Rhinolophus ferrumequinum: one gene and its partner. The protein of the gene in region 1 interacts with the protein of each later gene in a pairwise test. Links are inferred from orthologs where the notes say so. Each region holds a gene or a part of one and is shown in the gene's direction. Other genes may lie near its edges.

What was found.
Region 2: the proteins of RBBP8 (region 1) and LIMS1 interact in a two-hybrid assay, tested with the Homo sapiens proteins (2 studies listed by BioGRID and IntAct). The two-hybrid records come from large-scale screens. The link is inferred for Rhinolophus ferrumequinum from reciprocal best matches to the Homo sapiens genes RBBP8 and LIMS1.

What each region holds. Positions count from the first base shown.
Region 1 is NC_046302.1:18,507,217-18,518,752, forward strand, and holds the start of RBBP8 (DNA endonuclease RBBP8), read left to right. Parts: upstream 1-6,819; 5' UTR 6,820-6,951; intron 6,952-11,536. UniProt on the Homo sapiens protein: Endonuclease that cooperates with the MRE11-RAD50-NBN (MRN) complex in DNA-end resection, the first step of double-strand break (DSB) repair through the homologous recombination (HR) pathway.
Region 2 is NC_046296.1:5,784,269-5,795,610, forward strand, and holds the start of LIMS1 (LIM and senescent cell antigen-like-containing domain protein 1), read left to right. Parts: upstream 1-6,356; 5' UTR 6,357-6,443; coding exon 6,444-6,625; intron 6,626-10,888; coding exon 10,889-11,048; intron 11,049-11,342. UniProt on the Homo sapiens protein: Within the IPP (ILK-PINCH-PARVIN) complex, binds to F-actin, promoting F-actin bundling, a process required to generate force for actin cytoskeleton reorganization and subsequent dynamic cell adhesion events such as cell spreading and migration.

The sequences.
Region 1 (11,536 bases):
AAATTTGCATGTTTTTACCTGTGTACCCATGAACAAATTGTTATAGTAATTTTAATACTTGTAATTTTTAGCTATCTTACTTGTTTTATAAGTGATTTACTCACCACCATTACGTTAAAGCATTCTGAGCTTAACTATATATTTACCTTACAAATACTTCCTAATTTCTCACTTTATTTCATCATTGATCCATGAGTTATTTAGGAGTGTGTTATTTAGTTTAACAATATTTGGGGATTTTCCACACATTACTCACTTACTGACTTGCAATTTAATTCCATTGTGGTCAGAAAACAAACTTTATGTAACTTGAATCTGCTTAAATTTGAGACTTGTTTTAGGACGCAGAAAATGATCTATCTTGGTAAGCGTTCCATGTACACTTAAAGAGAATGTACATTCAATTGTTTTTAGGCCAAGTGATCTACAGATGTCAAGTACATCAAGTGGGTTGATTGTGTTAAACCTTCTACACTCTTAATGATTTCCTGTCCACTTATTCTAACAATAATTGAGAGAGAGTTAATGAAATCTCCAGATCCAATTATTAAATATAATTATGAATTTCTTCTGTTCTCCTTTCAGTTCTATAAACTTTTGCTTCACACATTTTTATTTATGTCATTAGATGCATAAATACAAGGTCTGACAATTAAGTTTATGAACTTGTTGCAACAATGTTGCTAACCTTTTTTGATATCAGAAGGGTTATTCGTTATGAATTTGTACCACCTGGACAAACAGTTAACCAAATTTACTATTTGGAAGTGCTGAAAAGGCTGCCTGAGAAAGTTAGACCTGAACTTTTCACCATAATTCATGGCTCTGATATCACGACAATGTACCAGCTCACACTGCATTGTCTGTGAGGGGGTTTTTCACCAGTAAACAAATAACTGTATTGGAACACTCTCCTTACTCACCTGAAGTGGCCCCAATGACTTCTTTCTTTACCTGAAGGTAAAGGAAATACTGAAAGGAAGACATTTTGATGACATTCAGGACATCAAGTGTAACACAACGACAGCTCTGAAGGCCATTCCAAAAAGAGTTCCAAAATTGCTTTGAAGGGTGGACTAGGGGCTGGCATCTGTGCATAGCTTCCCAAGGGGAGTACTTCAAAGGTGAACATAGTGATATTCAGCAATGAGATATGTAGAAATTTTTCTAGGATGTGTTCGCGCACTTCACTGTCTGACCTTATATGTAGAATTAGGTTTCCTTGCTGAATTAGCCCCTTTATCATTTTGAAAAGACCCTTTTTGTTCTTGGTAATATTCTTTCATCTAACCTATTTTGTCTGGTATTAATATAGCCACTCCAGATGTCTTTTGATTAGTGTTAGCATGGTGTGTCTTTTGTGATCGTTTTACTTTTAACCTATGTGGGTTTTAATATTTTATAAAGTATGTGTATTGGTGGCAGCATATAGTTGGGTTTTGCATTTTTATCCAACCTGACAATTTCTGTGAGACCACTATAGTCTACCTGGGTTACCCCTCTGCTCGCCATGACCTGGAAATTCTGTGGAGGTGATTATAGGGCTCGCCTTGTTCGTTTGCTTTCTCTTAAACAGATAATAGTCTTTGTTAACTGATATACAGTGTTTTGAAAACCATTGTTTTATACATTTTGTTCTTGTTTTTTCAGGTGGTAAGGTAAATCTGATTCCTATAACTCCATCTTGGCTGGAAGCAGAAGTCTTAATGCTTCATTCTTAATGTTATAGTGCCTGCAAACTTCTTCAAAGGAATGTTCTTGGGCTACTAGACCACTTGTCTTGGACAGCCAAAAGTGCCTGGAAGTTTACAAATCCCTGAAGAAGCCAGTAGCCATGACTGGTTCAGGGGAATGAAAACATAGTTCCTTTGCCTCCAAGTGGGATAAACTCTTTCTTTGTGATTTATGCTCTGGAGCTCCTTGGGGCCAGGCTGATGCTAAAGTCATACTTTTGCTTTTTTTTATTCTCCTTTCTAGTCCCGCCTCCCTGACTGGTTTCATATTGGAGCACCTTTCTAATAAATCACTTGCACCTGAACCCATATCTGTGTCAGCTTTTGGAGGACACAAGCTTGCGTTTTAAAATTGTTCTTCTGTAAAATGTCTTTTTGATTGGCTATCTTGCCTTTGCTCCCACATTTTTTGAATTATTCACTTGCCCAAAAAACTTTCAAATAAAAGTGTTGAGCTAAATAGATATTGAGAATATATCCAATCAAATTCCATCATTTAATAAATGAAGCAACTGAGGCTCAGAATGTTAAATAAATAACTAATCCATGTTTACATACCCTAAGAGTAACTGAGGCAAGCTCAAAATCAGGTTTCTTGATTTGGGCTTATTCAGATAAAATATGCTCTTAATTTCATAGTGATCCTGTTTTACTAGCTGTTGGATAGTATTTTGCAAACACTTACTTATGAATATTGGCAGACATAAATGTGAACACTTTTTTCTGCAGGTGCAAGTTTGTACTTGTAACAGTTTTATTGCCTTCCTCATTTTATGATCTTTGAACATTAACCCTTGGTGAAAAGTGAATGTAACACTTGCAATTTAAAAAACTTTTAAATTTAATTCTCATAGTAAAAACCAATCATATTCACATCTTCTCTCTCTCTCTCTCTGTCTCTCTCTCTCTCTTTCTTTCTCTCTCTCTCTCTCTCTCTCTCTCTCTCTCTCTCTCTCTCTCTCTTCTCTTTCTCTCTCTTCCCTCCTCCTCCCTTTCTTCTTCCCATCCTCTCTCCCTCTGTCTTCCTCTCGCTCTCTTTCCTTCTTTCAGTCATAGGCAAGATGATTTTAAAGTAAAAATCACAGTCTCCATAACTTACTGGTGTGCAAGGACCCTATTTGGTGCTGTGGTCTTGGGACTGGTGGCCATGTTGAACTTTAAGCAAAAAGAAGTGGAGACACTTCTGGATTCCATGTTTTCATCTTTCTTAATTTACTCCTATTTCGTAGCACATCATTTAGTAGTTTCTTAATTTTACTTTCTGGTAGATTTCTTCAACTTTACCTTCCAACTGCTGTTGACTTTTTATTTCTGCTATCATATTTTTTACTCTCCAATACCTTTTTTATTCTCCAAAAGTTTCACTGTTAGACAGCCTTCTGTTCTTGTTTTATGTAATCAGTACTTCTAGGTTTTTGAAGATATTAATATAGGTGGGGTTTGTAATTATTATTATTCTCCCTACATTGACAATTTTCTATAAATTCTTTTTATCTCTTGGTTCCTTTTTTGTCTCTTTCATGTTAGGTGTTCTCTATATCTTAGAATGAGGCATAAAAATGCTCTCTGTGTCTAGGTGGGATTTATTTATTTATATTAGGGTGATGTTGGCTATAGGCTTAATATTAGGCTAGGGTTTCTCATCTTTGGCGCTATTGACATTTTGAATTGGATAATTATGTGGGGGTTGGGGCAGGGAGAAGGGAGGACGTGCTGTCCTGTTCATTTTAAGACGCTTAATAGCATCCCTGGCCTCTGTGCAGTAGAAGCCAATGGCATACCTCTGCCCTCCACACCCTTCACACACAGTTATTTACAATCAAGAATTTCTCCAGACATTGCCAAATGGCCCCGTGGGTACAACCATGCCTAGTTAATAACCACTGCATTAGGGTGAGGAGAGTTTTGAAATTTTCTTGGAGAGAATTTCTCTAGTTTCCTGCTTTCTGAGTGAGGAGTATGAACCTGGTTACTGGCATTCAGAAGCCAAGCAGAGGTATGGACCTGGGCATCTCACCACTCAATATAGAGACTTTGACTTAATCTCAGTGGTAGGCAGGATACAGCCTCTCAAAGATGTCCACATTCTAATCTCCTGAACCTATGAATATGTATGTTACATAACATGGGGAGATTATCCTGTATTACACAGTTAGACTTAAATATGGAAGAGGAAGGCAGCAGAGTCAGTGTTAGAATGATGCCATGTGAGAAAGACTTGACTGGCCATTGCTGGCTTTGAAGATGGAAGGGAGCCATGAGCCAAGGAAGGCAGGCAGCCTCTCAAAGCTGGAAAAGACAAGGAAACAGATTCTCCCCCAGCGCCTCCAGAAAGGAATTCAACCCTGCTGACACCCTAACTGTAGCAAGTAAGACCCATTTTGGACTTCTAACCTCCAGAACTGTAAGACAATAAATTTGTGTTCTTTTAAACCACTAAGTTTGTGGTAATTTGTTATAGCAGCCATAGGAAACTAGTACAATCTCATTGCTTTCAGTGTAGTACTTTACCATTCGCCTTCATCTCTGCCTGGTATTTTCAAGTCTAGAACCAATCTGGGACAATCTCTCCCAGCATGAATCAACAAGTCCTGCCTGTCTTTTGTCAACCAATCCTTCCATTTAAAGCCTTTCCCCAAACTCCCCCAAACCATTTAGAGATGCCGCCAATTCCAGAAGTTTTCTAGGATTCTGCAGCAAAGATAGACTTTCTTTTATCATTGCAAGTAGACTTCCTCTTTCTCTATTCTGCTAAATCAGTCATCACCTATGCACATTCCTTCTTCCAAAATTTATGGACATCTCTTGTGTGCTACCTCTCTCATTCTGTTTGATCCTTAAGAGTTCATGCTGTTTTTGTTCTTTGCTATTTACTGTTTTGGTCATTGTAGTGGGACTTTAAGAAATAATGAAAAAAACAACCATGTCAACTACTGTTTAACTACAGTTTTATTTTTAGCTGACATTTTATTGGGTGCTTATTGTGTACTAGATTTTTGGATAAAGCCTCATGTGAATTATTTTATTTGAACCATAGAATAACTCTTGGAGATAGCAACTATTACTTTCACCCACATTAAGTAAATAAAATGAATGCTTGATTCAGGTGACAAAGCTAATATGGAACAAAACTAGGAAGGAACCCATTTTTCTGACTCCCAAGTCCATTTTCCTAACCAATCTTGTTAATTTTCACCAGTTTCACTCTTGAGCAGTTGTCAGCAAACCATGGCCCATTGGCCAGATCCAGCCTGTCACTTTATTAAGTTTTATTGGAACAAAGCCACACCCATTCATTGACTATTGTTTACATCTCTTTTTGTACTACCATGTTAGAGTTCAATAGTTGAAATAGAGTTCAATAGTTGAAACAAAAACCCTAAAATATTTACTCTCTGATCCTTGTGGAAAAATTTGCTAAGCCCTGCTCTAGAAAATAACATTATTATTAAGTTTTCAGGTCATGGTGTCCTCAAGTACTTAAAACTTTTATTACTGTATCAAATCAAAGGCATTCTTTTCATTGTTCCCTCAACCTTTTGTTATATTGCAGATATCAATCTTTGATCACGGTTAAGAAAGGCTCTAAACCCATCTCCTTTGTGCAGTTTTTCCCCTATTCAGTCATATTTGCTCCCTTTTCTGTGCTCCTGTGTACCTAATGCAGTTTGATTCACATAATAGTTACTAGTTGTAATTCCCCTTGGATCTAGCAAGTGCTGGTGTTGAGTAGATATTTACTTAAGCATTTATTAAATACTTTCTAAGTGTTGGAGTTTTAGACACTGGAGACACAAAAACAAATGGCAACTTTGGATTAATATGTATCCTATTTAATTAAGTACAAAAAAATAGAAAAGAAGCAGGAGTCTGGGCCTGTGGTCCCTGCAACAACTGCAGCATAATCACAAGTGCTTGAGTAACACCCTAGACCTATTAGTAACACTCCACCCCGGACGAAATCTCTGGAGGTGAGACCCGGTAATTTGTGTTCTTAATCAGCATTTCAGGAGGTACTTAAGCAAGGAAATTTGAGAATCGCTGCATCAATAGATAGAAAAGACTGATTTGAAATGTGCAAGTATTATGACAGAGTAAGAACAAATCTCACATGGTCTCCCTTAACACAAACCAATTTCCATCAATATATGATCTTGTGTTGCTCATTCCTTCTTTCCAAAAGATTCCTAGACATGCTTATCTAGAAATTTGGACAGTCCTCCCACCTCTTACTAAATGTGTCTTTTTCATCATTGTAACCCTGTACCGGGCACAGCTTCTGGCACCTAGTAGATATCAGTAATTTGTGTTCAGCTGTTGCATATCCAAAGTAAAACCTCTCCAAGTTGTCCTAGTATATAGAAATAGGAATTTTTCCAATTTTAGACTGGGATGGTATAAGGATCTTTTGAGTACAAGGAAGATTAACACACCCAGGTAAATGTTTAGTCAATCTCCATCTTGTTTTCCTCCCTCTGGAAATGCTTCCTTCTAGCTCTCAGGGCCACTACTCTTGTGGGAATATCAACCTCCACGTTAAGGCTAAGCTAGACTGAATAGAGCCAAGTGGACTAGTGGAAAAGGTTAAACACTATAGGTTCTTCATGTAGATATTCTCCTTCTAGAAGCTTTAGCGTGCAGAGCCCTAGAGTACATTTTAAAAAGGGTTACCTACCTCGGAGAACGATAGATACTCACGGAGAGGTTTATAACAATGGACTCTTGCTATACCTGACACAGATCTACCCCTCCCACTAGAACTCTGAATTATTTTGCTGGAGGCTACAACATTCTGAGCAGTTTATTGGAAGTTGCAGGTGGGGATAACTCACCCAGTACAAGCTTAGCAGAACTGAGCCGCTGCAGCTTGTTAGGCTAGCCTTTGATGCAGACTGGTTGGACAGGTTCTGGACCTACAGAAGAACCGGTTTGACTGGCCTGTTATGCCAACATATTCTGGTTTGATTCCATGTTCCACAGACGGTAGAAACCTGCCCAGCCAGTTAAATGAAAGACATATTAGGTTATCCATTGCACACTGTATATAGCTTAGATGCAGCACAACTCTTCCACATAGCAGTAGTGTCTAGTAAACTCTAGCGTGGTCCAGCGAGGTGGCTTCCACTGATTTACTGTTTAAGTTCATAGCTTCAGGGAAAGTCAGCAGTGAAACACCTGCTTTTGACCAAGAGCAGAGGGTTTCTAAATAAATTGAAGGGTAAGTTAATACATTTTTTTTTATATATTTCTCAGTATTCTGTGCACTTTTGGAAGGTTAAATTAAATGATGTTTTAAGATGTCTATTTTTAATATGATAATAACTGCATTATACCTTTTATGTAAAACTGGTTCTATATGGTTTTGTAACACTTGCATATATGTTCACTGATTTGTTTGGATAAAGGTTATTTGGTATATAATACACTTTGGCTATACCTTTTTGTAAGTTGGGCATGACTTGGGCATACAGTCATTTAAAAAGCTGAGTTGAACAATTTTGCTAAATATATTTCACCTATTAATGATTCACCTTAAGCCATCTACTTCTTTGATAATGTCCTATTATGTTTTATAGACTGTTGCTACACAGGAACAATTTTATATGATAAATCTAATTGTGGATGAAATAATAATTGCTTTTTTAAGGTGCAAAGAAAAAAATGGTGTTGGCTTCCTTGGTGATCCTAAGTACATTAGAGGAACAATTCACAGCAAGAATTGAGGAGTGTGGAAAAAAAAAAAAAAACATTGTGGAATCTGGTAACTGATTAACTATTGGAGCTCAAAAGCACTTGCTGAGCTGAATAGAAAGGAATGAAGACAGGTTTTGTCATGCCTTATTACATCCGAACAACTTTTGGGGTTAAAGAAAATTTGTATCTTCCGTTCCCTTATATTATATTTGAAAATAATTATTTTATGTCTCCCTTTCATTGATCCGATTAATTTATGTTAGGAGTTTGTGTCATTTAAAATGAAAGTTACCGATCCCTTTAGATTTATTTTGGCATACCAAACTACCCCCTTAGTATTAGGTTGAATTGAACGCATGCATCTTCTTGGCATTCAATTTAATGTTACAATTTACACATGAATTTATTTGGAAATTAAAATAATTTTTTTAACAGATTTATACTGAATATTCTCCTGTCTAAAGCTATTTGTAAGCTATCTTAATATAACTTTGCCTTGAGCCTAGCAAGACTGATGCACACTTTTCATTGTCACTAGAGTTCTTACTTTGTCATTGTATTCACACTCAAAGGCTATAAATTTCTTTAGAATGCTAATAAAGAATTTTTTAAGTGAGAATAAATATTCAGATAAGATTTTTTTTTTTCTTTTCTTTTCTTTTTTTTTTTTTTTTGGCAAAACCCTTTGGATGCTTTTTCACTCCAAAGCAATTCTGCATAAAACTGCTGATAATTCAGCTAAACTTCTAAAAAGCCATGTAATGTTGAATCTGCAAAAGGAATGTGCTGATTCAGCAAACCAAAATTAATTTTATTCAGCATAAGCTGTATTCTGACGATTTGAAGGAAATATGGATCAAAATTTTTAGTTGGGTGAAATTTTCTCTTTTCAGGTAAGATACAGACATGTCAACAGAGTATACTTTTAGTGTTTTTGGTGACTATATTATATATGGTAATTAAAAATTTTTAAATCATATAGTGTTTAAAATACAGGGCTTACTGTTTGAAAATAAACTTAACTTGGAATTCAAATTTATTTATTGAGCATTTTTATATCTATGATTTTAAGAAAAGCAATTTAAAAGCTAGAGGTATATTTCATAAAAATCCTTGGGCAAAATTTTAAGGTTAACTCTACATTTTGGAGAGGGATTTTACAGTTTTCATTTAATAGGATTTTCCGTTTCAAATATATGAAAGTGCTATTAAACATGAATTTTATGTATTTCCATAAATCGATTCCTTTAAAATATTCATACATTGTGATGTTTTGATTAAAATTAAGGATATACGGATTTATCAATCAAATTAGGAGTGTGTGTGTGTGTGTTTGTGTGTGTGTGTGTGTGTGTATTTTGAATGGCCCTAAATTATCTCAGGGCCAGGGTCAAAAATTGTTCTACTCATTTAAAAATCTTTCAATTCTTTAAGTCTCATTGGATGAATTCCTTTATTCCTAGCGACACAGTTTCACACAATGACTGTTTTTGTCAACAATGTTAGCTTTCTTAACAACAGTAACCTCTTTCCTTCCTGAATATCTGCATGGGTTTCCTGCCAAAAGCACTTAGAATCCTAACATTTTTGAGCTAGAAGGACTCTTAAATATAACTAAGGAATCCAACTCCTCATGCTTGAGTTGAATGAAAAGCCCCAAAATGTAGGTGAATCACCACTATATAACTTAAGGGTCGCTCTGGCACCAGAACATCTCAGTTTCCTGAATACCAGCCCAGACTAATAGTGGTTTTTTTTCACTACCCTACATTGACTCTTCTGAATGCTACATGAAATCTAATCTGTTTTCTAAAGGATTTGTAAAAAGATAAAATTGTATTGTAGAGTTATGTTAATGTGTCTTTGCTGAACTAAGAAATTATTTGTTTTTATATCTTAATCTATATCATTATTGTCCCCAAACTTTTTTTGTCATAGTGGCTAAATTTATGGAGTTACCATTGGTAATGAAGGTGACTACCACTTCAAGCCCTTAATCTCTTAATGCCATCATAAAATTTTGTATCAAACTGACACACTCCTTAATATTTCCTTCATATTCCCCTTCAAGTTTGAGGATCTTGCTGTCGTTTTCTGACTTAATATTGCTTTAAACTATCTCGACTGTTTATTTTCTTAGTATGCATGTATTCTTGTATTGTTTTAGTCACTCTTATGTTGATATAGTTTAGGATTTTTGCCTAAAAAGTTAGTACATCTAAAATTTGGTTAGAACTGACAGGAAAGTTTCAGTAAGGTTATGAAGACCAGAACTGCAGGATTCAAAACCCATGTCTGAGATGATAGAACTTGTTATTTAAGTGGTGAGCTCTTAATACAGTGCTATGCTTATAATTGATCAAAAATTCTTTGAATGTTTTTAACTTCAGGAATTCCAAGGAAATGGGCCTGAGAACAAAAGTCTCAAAATTTTCAATTCTAACTCCTGGAACTAAATGTTAATTTTCCTAATCCCCTTATCTTTTCACAGGGAAAATCCTACCTGAGGGATGCTTCTAAATTTGGTAAATTTAGTTCAGTCCAAGTGGACTCTGGAATATAATCACCTCCATTTGTTTCTTATCTTTACAGACAAGAGCAAGGGTAGTATATTGAAAAATATAAAGGTTTTTGAGATGGGTTTCGATATTGACTCTGCTGCAAACCAGTTTACCCTTGCGAATTACTGAACCCTCTGAATTCTCTTTTCTCCATCTCTAAGTTAGGGAAACTAATACCATTCTCTAATAATTGTTGGAAGAATTACATGATCTATGATGTATAAAACGCCTAGCACAGTTCCTAGAACATAGTGGGTGCAACAAATGTCAATATACTTTCCACCCCATTAATAGAATGTATAATAAATTTCAACAAATAGCTTGAGTAAGCGAAGTCAAAGCTTAACTTAGAACATATATTTTATTTTTGTCAGAGAGATAAAAATTAAATCAGCAACCTTGGAAAGCATTAAGATCTAATATCAGAAAATAGTTTAACCTTATTAAATTAGAAACCCATGTAATTGAATCCACTTAAAGAGTCAAGAAGCCTTTGTTAAACATATTTGAGAGCAATACACTAATTAAAAGGTTTAAATAATTTTTAAAAATTCAAATTTCAATCATCTATACCAAAGAAAGGAACTATGGCATACATAGACCAAATTACACCTTACTTGTGCCTAGTAACTGAGTTTTTCAAGGACATTTTATATCTATTTATATCTATTATCTCATATGACATCAAATTATTTGTCCAAAGATTTCTATATGCTCAAAGGATTATGCTCTTTCTACTATAAATTGAATTCTTCAGGGCTCTAGAATGTTTTTTTCCTCCAAAAGATTCTCTTCCAAATTAAATTTATTGTAGGTCAATATTAAATTGTATTGCATTTCCTTGATAGGAAATGATAAGGAGGGTGAGTCCAAAATGTTTTGGGTGTAATACGTAAGGTAGAATAGAATTTAACATTTTCTAAAAATAATATTAAATTAGCTTCAGACCCATTTGTTGATTAGGAGATGGAGCCAATGAGCAAAGTTCACATGCAACATACGTATTTATGAAATGTATGTCATCATCAGAAGGTAGTTCAAGAGCTAAGAGCAGGAACATGGTTATGACTTGATATTAGAACCAACAAATGGATTCACAAACTGATCGTATTGAGCTCTTACAAGATGCTTAATTGCTATACAAATAAGCTTAGTACTGATAATATAATTTAAATTTATATCCATGGAAAATAAATTTCTTTTTCTCTTAAATTGAAAAGTTTGTATGTAGATGGTATATCTAAAGACAAAAGTACCACTTACTAGTTAAGCTCACTAATTATACATTCTTATTAAAACTATTTTATTAGCTACATAAGCAATTTAATCTTACATAACTATTAATTTGCATTTATTTTCACACATTTGGATATTACTATAAACAATTGAAAAGAAGGCAGGGAGTAGTAACATAAGTTTAAAATATATATTTTAAATGTTTCTACATAAATACAGATGCTTCTCAGCATATGATGGTGTTATATCCCAATAAACCCATCAAAAGTTGAAAATATCATTAAGTCGAAAATGCATTTACTATCACACTGT
Region 2 (11,342 bases), on another chromosome or scaffold:
CACCAAAGATAGTCTAACTTTAGGTGAGTTGCCTTTCACAGGTGTAACAGTCAGATGCAGCTAGCCTTCTCTGGTCCTCGCCTCCTTGTCATGCCCGATTGTTCTGGGAGGAGCTGGCGCCCTGGGGAGGGCGGTTGCTGCCATAGAGGGAGATAATTCCACACTCTTTTCACCTTCGTTAGGTGATGAAGTTTTTCACTTAGCCTCTTCAGTTATTTCTAACGTACTCGGCCGGACTTCAGAGGCTCTTCCCTGCTTTCATCACGATCCTGAAAAGCAACGCCAGTGCAAGCAGATAACAAATGTGCAATTTTCTTCATTTTAAATTTGTTTGAGAAGATGTGCACCTCATTCCTCTCTTATTCTTGCCCCTATTGTAATGAATAATTTCTTTTTCCTTGTGCAATCAGGAATTAGGAAACAATTTAAACAGACAAGGCAAAATGGTATATTAGTTACAATTCCATTTCCTTTTCTGGCCAGGCTTTGTCTCTTTCCTCACTGTCTGTTTAACGAAAACACCGTGCATTTTTCCTGGAAGCTGGGGAATGAGAAAGAACTTTCCAGCTCCATTATCTTCACTTCCATGTCATGAGTGTTTTGTTTTTAGTAGCAGGGGAAACTCAGATTAAATTTTCCATGCGAGTACGATAGAGAATCACAGTGAAAATAATTTATTTTACCATATGGTAATTTAACCAGGCCATCTCAACAATTTGGATACTACCCCATTCATGGAAACCTTTGACTGACATTGGAGAAGCTTCATTCTAGTAGTTGTTATTGCCAAGTGCTTGGATTAGCCATCCACATACTTAAATCTTTCTGGAATGCTACAAAACATTGAATAGCCATTTTCCCTATATTAGAGTCCCATGTTTTAGAGACAATTGGTCATAATGTTCAGCATGGGTTTTAAAAACCACATAGATGAAATATTTGGTAGTGGAGCGTGTAATTCAGTAGTTGCTATTTGAGAGAATTTTAATTTAAAAATACCAGGTATTAAAAAGTAGATTTTTAATTTTGGCAGCCATGTTCATGATTATGAAGGCTGAGCTCCTGGAAATAGCTGCAGTTTATTTTTGTATGATAGCTCTCAGTAGATTATTTATTTTTGGTTATGTATTATGTCAGGGGTGGAATTTGTTTTGGCAGAAATCGTGGAGTTAGCTGGACTGATGGAATCTGAAGCCTGGCAGCATTCTTTGTTGGATGCTAGAATGGTCAGTGTAACATCAAATATGCTGTGTGTGGTTTGGCATCTAACAAGCTGTTAGGTGCACTCAGCAAGGGTCCCAAGTCCTGTCTGCTATGGCCTGAATGTTTGTGTTCCCCCCCCCCCCCAATTCATATGTTGAAGTCCTAACCCCTAAAGGCGATTGCCTTGGGAGTTGGGACCTTTGGGGTGCTTGGGTTACAAGGATGGAGCCCTCATGAATGGGATTCATGCCCTTCTAAAAGTGGTGTTACAGAGATCCCTAGCCCCTTCCACCATGAGAAGGTGCTGGTGATGAACCAGGAAGAGGAGAAGAGAGTCCTTCCCAGAACCTGACCATGCAGGGGCCTTGATCGTGGACTTCCAACCTCTAGAACTATGAGGGATAAATTCGAGTTGTTTATAACCAACGTAGTCTGGTGTTTTGTTTTCACAGCCTGCATGGACTCAGACACTGCACAGTACATAATGAGAAAACGATTGCTTCAGTACGTGGTAGAGTGTAGGATGCAGATGATGAGAAAATGTTAAGTTTGTGAAATATAAATTCCTCTACTTTGGTGGATTTAAGGGATGTTTGGGGTTCACAGCTGTCCTGTGTGATCTCCCAAAGACCCAAATTAGCCATGGTAATGAGGAGAGTTTATCAGATTATAGAATCTCTTGAGAAGAACCCTTAAGGAATCATAGGCCTTAGGAAACTCTACTTCTTCAGCAAAAAACACCTAACAGGCCTTCTGTTCAAACAAGAATGGCTTGTTTGGTATTTTTTTAAAAACAGCCTCCCAACCTACTTCACGGGGCTGTTTGATGCCACTGTAGTGGGACTAGTGGTTTCAATCAAGGGAGTTCAAATAAATATTTTTCTTATGGATTGTTTGTATTTGTTAGAGCTATATTAAGTGCCAAAAATGGTTTAAAAGTACCCAAATGCCTGGATATAAAACTTGAGCAATGGTGTTTATTTGGCCTCAAATTACCCTCTTGTCCTCTTGGAAAAATAACACATTTCTTTTAGCTCTGCTTTATGGTAGTTGGATAAGAGAAGTGGATGACCAACTGACACCCCTATATGAGGTGTGATCACAAAATACGGTGAATGTTTAAATAAAAAAATTATTACAGTAAAAGACACATTGCCATTAATCCCCCTCTAAATACACCTCCTTGCTTCGAACACACTTATCCCATCGTTCCTGCCACTTTCTGAAGCAGTTCTGGAAGTCCACTTTCGTGAGGTCTTTACTTCATCCTCCTTCATGACAGTACTTCATGTCACACATCGCTTCTGGTAGAGCAATTTCTGTCAAATAAAAACATGACGGTGTGTCCTCATCCACCTTATTCACCAGATCTGGCACCGTGAGACTTCTGGCTCATCCCCAAAGACAAAATGACTGTGAAAAGAAAACGTTTTGAATCGATTCAGGACATTGAGGCAGCCATGGCAGCACAACTAAAGACACTTACAACCCCGAACTAAGAGCTATTTAAATGGCCTTCAGTGGGTAAATGGTTAGAGAAACCATGCTATGTGCATACCATGGAATACTACTCAGCAACAAAAAGAAGTAAGCTATTGACGTGTGTGTGTGTGTGTGTGTGTGTGTGTATGTATATATATACACACAGTCAACTTGGGTGGATCTCAAGCGCAATATGCTGAGTGGGAAAAGCCAACCTTCCAAGGCCACATATAGTATGATTCCATTTATGTAATTGTCTTAGTCAGTTTGGGCTGCTATAACAAAAATACTATAGACTTTATGGCTTAAAGAACAAATAATTATTTCTCAAGATTTTAGAGGCTAGGAATTCTAGGATCAAGGCCCCAACAGATCTGATGTCAGATAAGCGTCTATCTACCTCCTGGCTTATAGACAGACAGTTACTCTGGCTGTATCATCATGTGGCCCATGGAAAGTGATCTGTGTCACTTCTTCTTATAAGGGTATTAATCCCATCATTAGGGATTAATGTCCCACTCTCCTGACCTAATCTAACCCTAATCACCTCCCAGAGGCCCTATCTGCAAATACCATCACATTGGGGATTAGGCTTTCAACATAGGAATTTTGGAGAGACACAATCAGTTCACAGCAATAACATTCTCTAAGTTACAATTACATAGATGAAAAACAGATTAGTAGTTCCAGGGGTTAGGGATGGCAGGGTGGGGGGGGGGTGTGACTATCAGATAACATGGGAGAAATCTCTGTAGTGATGGAATAGTTTTATATCTTGATTAGGGTGGTGGTTACATGTATCTACCCTATACACACATTGTACCAATGTCAGAATCCTGGCTTTGATATTGTACAATAGTTAGGTAAGATGTAATCACCAGGGAAAGCTGGATAAAGTATACACAGGACTTCTCTGTACAATCTTTGCAACTTTCTGTGACTCTGTATTTCAAAATAAAATTAAAAATTTGATTGCAGTTCTTTCAGATTATTTCGAATTCCTTGGCAGATAAGAGACTACATTGTGTCTTGTATTCGTGAACCATTAGCTTTTTCATAGTTCAGCTGTTCTGTCTAGTAGAAATAAGACCAGTTGTTCCAAAGTAAATAAGATAATTAGTTACATTTTTAGATCTGCTGACTCAAAGTGCTTAGCAGATTGTCAGCTAATTTTCTCTTTCATTGTTTCCATGGTTTGCTAGATCAAGTAAAAGGATTATTAACCCCAGTTCCTTCATCAACAAATAATTATCGCATACCTGCTAAGTGATGGGCTCTATTCATGATATGGGCATGAACAAAACAAGATTCCTACCCTCCTGCAGATTACATTTTTTGGCATGTGAAGTGAGGGAGGCTAAAAGAAGGTAGAGAACTTGTCCCCTGCCCTCCTGGATACTGTTTGAGCTGAAAGGAAAGGGGACTCTTCCCATACCTACCTCAGTGTTCTACCCTGCAGTTTGGTATCTCTCAGTAGCATTACCTCAGTGTGGGCAGAATAGTTTGGATCTGATGATGTTTCTGGCAGGAGAAGGAATGTGATTTGCATTTACTGGACCTAATATGGATTAAGAACTGTAAAGACTCTTATAAGGAAAACAAAGGCATAGAGCTTCTTTCCTTAGGTGTGGAGAAATATATTAGTACCGGAGGCACTGATACAGGATGGATTTTATAAAGAGATTAAACAAACAGAAACATTGGAGTCAGATGTCTGAATTTGAATTTGGGACCTCCCACTTACTAGCTGTGTGACTTTAAGCAGGTTACTTAAGCTCTCTGAGAAGGTAATTTCAGTCTTGTTTATTTTTATACAGGGTAAATTAAATCCATATGAAAGCTAATTGTAAACTGGCAAGTTGGAAGGATTATTGTTGAGAACAGAGGGCGGTGGGACTCCCTTGCTTCTTTTTCACCATCAAGACATTGTCTAGACTCTACCCTGCGAAGAGCACATCCCCATGTTCATGGACTTGGTCTCAGTACACTGAAATAGGGAAGTTTAAAGATAATTAAAATAAAGATTGAGTTTTAGAAAGAGGAGTGTCTTAGGTGAGGTAGAAATGTGAATAGAGAAAATAGATTAATAGAGAAGAAGTATTCTGGGCAGGAGGCTTGGATGGCTCCCCTCTTCCTATCATGCTACCCCTAATTCAGTGCATTGTTTCGTGTGTGTGTGTGTGTGTGTGTGTGTGTGTGTGTGTCCATCTGGGTCCATGTCCCTCCGTGTCTTGCTTGCTCCCCTCTATATTCCACATGGTCATTGTAAAATAAGCCTTGAGGTTGTTTCTTTCCTATTTAAAAATGGTGAGTCTTTTGTTCCATCAGCCACAGGCTTTGCACCTCAGCAGGATCCACAGCCTTGGAGTTCCGACCTGTACTCTGAGATCATTGGGCTTCAAAGTGGAAAGCCCAGACCTCATTTTCTGCTTCTAGTCCTAGTTTTACGCTTTTCTAGTCAACCTATTCTGCTTTCCAGTAATTGTGTTTAACCATTTTTTTCACATAGTAATTAACACCTGAGGCTCTAGAATAAGACCACGTAGGTTTAAATCTTGACTGCACCGCCTATGTACTAATTATTCAACTAATTTGTGCCTCAGTTTCCTTATCTGTAAATAATACCTACCTCATAGGAATATGATAGTAAGCACTAACACTTAGATATCGTTATTTATAGTTATTACTTGAGAGTCTCCGCTGCATTTTGTCTTGCTGATGACAAAATGGCTCTCCTATCTCTCGTGTGACCTATCCTGCTCGTCAGTGTACCTTTTACCTATGCTCTAGATTTTCTTGCTCAAGCGCCCCTTGTTACCTTGATTTTGGTGGGATGCGCATTGGTGCTGAGAGCACTGGGACTTGAGAAAGCTTCTGAAGCCTTTTATTACCCATGATCCTACATCATCATCTTCATTGCTGACACTGTTATAAGACCTGTAATGTGGCAGAATAAGACATGCCAGTGGCATCCTTAGTCCTGAGAAAAGACCAAGAAATAGTGGCTCACCTGTTACAGGCTTAGCTGGAGGTCAAATAGAAAGACTTCTAACTAATAAGCTCCGCTCTTCCCTATTACCTCCTGCGTCCGTTCATTGAACACATTATTGACTTCTTACTGCGTCCAAGGGTGAGGATAAATAAGTCAGATGTAGCTCTTAATTTTACTGACTCACAGGGCAGCCATAGGGCACATGCATGACCTGGGCACCGTGGTGCCCCTCAGAGTGTGTCAGCAGTGCCAGCCTCACCGGGAGCTTATCAGGGGCCCCAAATTCCCGGGGGTGTTTTCCACGCTCTCCAATTTCCACGCTTTCCAAGAGATGCTTATGCCCACTGAAGTTGAGAGGCAGAGTGTTCGTGTTGTCGCTGCCCTTGTCGCTGCCCAGCGACAGGCAGCTAGGGCACGTGGCTGTTTCTTCTCTTCGAGGCCTGCCAAGCTGGCCATTCCTGCAGCAGTGAGAACAGACACAGTCCACCTGGAAGGCTGCTTGGCAAAGACTGGGTCACGACTTTGTGGAATATTCTCTAGAGCTCCCAAAACGCCTCAGTAACCCAGGACTGTCAGGACAACGGACTGCTTTCTGCTGGAGCTCTTAACGTGAAGGGTCAGGAGCGACCCTGGCGAGCCTGGGGCTGACGTGTGTGGGCACAGTGGGAGTGACCCTGGCAAGGAAGCGGGGGAGGCCTGGACATTGTTTCTCCGTCTCCTGTCCCGCTGCTCTCAGCCCTGGGCTCCCAGCTCGCAAGCAGCAACGATGGCGTTCCCAGGCAGGGTGCACCCCTCTGTTATCCCAGAGAATGAAGAAATCCCCCAGACAGCCCTGAACGGTATCCACCAGGCTAATGGAAATGAAGACGAGAGGGCCGTGTCTAAACTGCAGCGCAGGCACAGTGACGTAAAAGTCTACAAGGAGTTCTGTGACTTTTATGCAAAATTGTAAGTGTCTCTCTCCTGGAGTTCCCCTCTTCCAGACCTAGCCTTCCTGGGCTTTTAGTTCCCGAGCCATTTGCGGCTTTATTTCCTTGGCTTTCAGCAGGGGCTTTCCAGGGTGATGCAGCATATTCCAGCAGGCAAGTAGGTTGCCTGGCATTGGAAACCTTCTGCTGGATGAAATGCTGATGTGAAAGAAAGTGCTACCTTTAAATTAAGAGTAGGAACGTCTTTGTCTTCTTCAGTGGGTTCCTGATAATAGTACATTTTCATTGTGTAGTCCAAAAGGGAGGGTTAGTTTTTTCATTGTCAGGATTTATAATAGAAAAACTTTATCCTCTAAAACTTCCCCCAGACAAGAGGCAGGTGGGGGAAACTGAAAAATTGAATTGCAGACTGCTGATAAAGATACAGATTTTTATTATGTTTAACAGTCAGCAGTTTGAAGTAGGCCAACTGGGTTTCTTAATACTGTCTCTAGGGGACTGAATGAATAAAAAAGGATGTTGTGTAACCAGGAGATAGATAGACATATAGATAGATACATCATGCGTTCAAGCGGTTAACCCTACAAGTTAAATCTATTCGTTTTACTAAATGAGTTTTAGCAAACAGTTGTGTTTTTTTTTAAATAGTGTAGAGTAATATTTAGACTAACTCATTCAGGTAAGATTGTTGACCTTAAGCAAAGTTGTAAGCTTGGAATTATTGCAAATCCCCAATTTATGAGTTGAGAGTAGAGGAGAGTTTGATTGACCTGATTCTCTATTTCCATGAATGCATTCTGTGTGGTATTGCAACAGATGTCATTTATTTTCACAAGTCATAAAGAGCTCTTTTTAAGAGTAACCGGGCAATTATAATTTCACTGCAACCAGAATGCTTGGTGAACTCTCAAGATGCTGTTTGAATTTACACATTTTTGCATTTTAATAATAGAAAATTTGTTACACATACTTTGATAAATGAGGCACTTAAATAAAAGAAAGCTGATGATGTCAAGTTTTCTGTGTGTGGTTGATTTGTGGAAGTAGATCAGCTAAAACAATTATGACTGGGCAGTTACGGACATTCCGTGCTAAAGGCTTTTATACATGTGTATATCGGTAGGTAGGTAAGTAGATAGATAGATAGATAGTTACAGATATCACAATGTATATAGCCCTTGTCATCAACCCTTTTGTTGAAAATTTTAGTGGAAATTCTTTTCTGAGAAATTGGCCAATTTATTATAATTAACAGCTATAACTATCATTCATGATTGTTTAAAAAGTAACTTGTATTTTGTGTATTAAATATAAAATATGAAAATCAGCTGTAAAAAAATACATAGGTTAATACAGGTTCATCCATTTTAACAAATGTGTCACCTGGGGGGGGATGTTAGTTGCATGGGAGCGACGTGTGTGTAGGGACGGGGGGTGGGGGGGGCATGTGGAGAATCTCTGTGCCTTTCTCTCGATTTTGCTGTGAACCTAAAACTGCTGTAAAAAATAATCCGTTAAAAAAATACATAATGCCAGAGGATCGAAAACAGGAAAGGGAAATGTAAACAGTTTCAGTAGGTTGATGAGATTATTGGTATTTTTTTTCCTGCAAGTTTCCTCTAATGTTCTGTTCCTTTTCTTTTCCTGCTTGTTATAAAAAGGAATACTTCTTCAAAAAATACATATTATGTTATCTCTAAAACTAGTTTATTTTTCCTGTGTATGCGAAAAACCTTTGTGCTTCTTTTTATAACGTGTCTGTTTTCTAATTCTAACTATTTGAGTCCTTGAACTTGAATATAAACAGTCTGTAGTATAAAAGTCAATGATAAACAGTTTGATCTTGGGACCCCTTTACACTTTTAAAAATTACTAAGGTCCCAAAGAGTTTTTGCTTTATCAATATTTACTGCATTAGAAACTAAAACTGAGAAATATTTTAAGTATTAGTTCATTTAAAATAATAAGCCCATTACACAGTAATATTAAATATTAATGTTAATATTTTAATGAAAAGTGTTTCTAAAACAACAAAAGCTTGGTAGGAATTGTAGCATTGTAGCATTTTTGCAAATCTCATTAACGTCTGTCTTAATAAAAGACAGTTTCTCATAACTGCTTCTGCGTTTATTCTAATATGTTGTTTTAGATTAAAAGTATATAAAGAAAACACAGTCTACCACAAAGATGTAGTTTGAAAAGGAATGACCTTTGAACCCCTTAAAAAGGTCACAGTGTCCCCTAAGTTTTGAGAACCACTGACCTAGGTAATAATGAATCAGGACATTCTGGAATGGTCTTCTTTTCTAGCTTTTTTGGAGTTCTATTAAAATCATTGAGGTTTTGGTGAATCCAAACCCTTTTGAGAGAGTTTTAAATGAATAAAAATGCTTTATATTTGAGTAGCCTTTTCTGGTTTCCAAAGTGGTTTTATATACTATTTCTTAGTTCATCCTCAAAACTAAGAATTATCAGGGCAGGTATGGGCTTACTATACTTTCATCAAGCATGTATTTTGTGGATTTTCATCAGAAGAAAAGAGGAAGCACAAACCTTCCCAGAGCTTTGCTAAAACTTCCATAATTTATCTGGCTTATGGCAAAGCCATGTGAAGAAGGGAATTTTACAGATTTTTCTCCCTAACCTACAGTAATTTTGAAATGACAGTAGAAAATTCCTTTTAATATGTGATTTAGGCCAGGTTTGCCAAGCAATGAGGCTGCTTCCCTTCCTCCTTTTCTCCTTTTTTTTGGGGGGGAGGGTGATTTTAATTCTATACTGAAGCCTGTCAAGCCTAAATTAAGCCTAAAATTGAGTGTTGATTGGTACTAGAGTGTGAATATGGTGCTAAGTTAAGGCAAGGCTACAAAATAGGAATACTGTTCTTTGAAACTTTTGGGGAAGAAGGCCAAGTTGCCCTCCATTGGGGTAAGGTGGAGATGAAACAAGGTATGTGCGAACACTTTTGCTAAAGAAGCAGCAAAACTTAGAAACTGGTAAGAGACAAGGCAATTAATCTGTCCATAAAATGCAGACTCGCCTGCCCACTTGCCTCACAGGGAGGTTGTGAAGATCCAGGAGAATGAAGGCAGTACCTGTACAGGTGGACTGATTCAATGCTGGGTGGGTCAGAAGCTGCCCCAGGGGACCAGACACATAGGTAGAGTTTGCACTCTGAGTGGGCATCTGAAAAGAAACTTGCCAAATTACGAAGGACGGCTTAGCCAATGACTACTCTGCTTAGGTGACCTTCTCCACTTGGAGACCTTCCAGAAACAAAACAGTTCTTTACGTGAAGTTCAGAGGGCCTATTAGAGAATAACTAATTATCTGATTATATGCTTTTCTTGCAAAGTGCACAAATCTTGGGACCATTTATTGGATGCCTCCTGAGTAGAGTGGAATGACTGGCGAGGGAGTTACAAGTCATTGGGCTCATCGTCAGTAACTTGATGCCTGCTTTTACTTTCTTCATTGTAAAGTGTGGTGGAGTCCCTATCATGTCCTTTCAAGTGTTTGAAATTGATTCTGTATTCCAGTTGTGATTTTGAGTGGGAGACCTGGATTCTCATCCTGTAGCTTCCCTTAACGAATTACTAGCTTTGTGGGGTTGGGCCAGTCACTCCACTTCCCTGAACTTACATTTCGTCATCTGTAAAATGATTGTCATAATGGTAAAATTCTTTGATTTTAAGATGTATTTTATAATATTAGTATTCAATACTTGTCTTGTCAATTAGATTATAGGACTGAGGGATTTTGGCTGGTTTTAAGAGTTACTTAAGCAGTTGCTTTCAACAGGATGTAACCAAAGGGATCATCTGTGTCTATGCTATGACATGGCATTCAGTTGACGTGGTTTAGATTCTGTTCTCAGAAGGGAGAGAAATTGGCTTTGAGATTCTGACTTGTGGGTATTTTAATTAAGCTTCTTTTCAAGCTGTAAACTCGAGCTCCATGAGGGCAATTCTTGACCTTCATCTCTCTCCCTAGAGCCTAAAGGTAGTAGGCACTCATTCATGGTATATTGATCAAGAGGAATGTCAAAACTGTTAAAGAAAAACAGGGTCGAAGCAAGAGACCCGTTCTGAACCTAAGGTGCTAGGACAAAGAGATGGGAAAAGTCTGAATTGAGTACTTATGACACAAGCAAGAAATTGGCCTTTATAGATAAAATCTTTTTATGATCAGATAGAATGCGCTCTTTAGTTCTTTGTGTTTTTTTGTTCTTACGTCTAAGAAAAGGTTGGCAATCCGTGACTTCCTGTCCTTTGTGTTACAGCAACATGGCCAATGCCCTTGCTAACGCCACTTGTGAGCGCTGCAGGGGGGGTTTTGCGCCCGCCGAGAAGATTGTAAACAGTAATGGCGAGCTGTACCATGAACAGTGTTTCGTGTGCGCTCAGTGTTTCCAGCAGTTTCCAGAAGGACTTTTCTATGAGGTGAGTCAACTTGGACAGAAGCATAAAGGTACCATTCCCTTTCCCTCCTTTTTTTGAGGCGTCCCTCTTCCCTTTAAATTTCAATGTCAAAGATTGCATTGAAGTGCCAGCTACAGAGCTGGGTATTTGGCAACTGTCAGGTCAGTGGTGGCTTATGTGTGCGCTGACAGACCCCACCATTTATACTGTTCATTTCATCTTCCTATTTCAGAACCCGCAGTACCGTGACTCAGCCTGTCAGACCTGAGCACTTAGCTGAGCAAATTCTTTCATAAACTTCAGCCACAGTTTTTC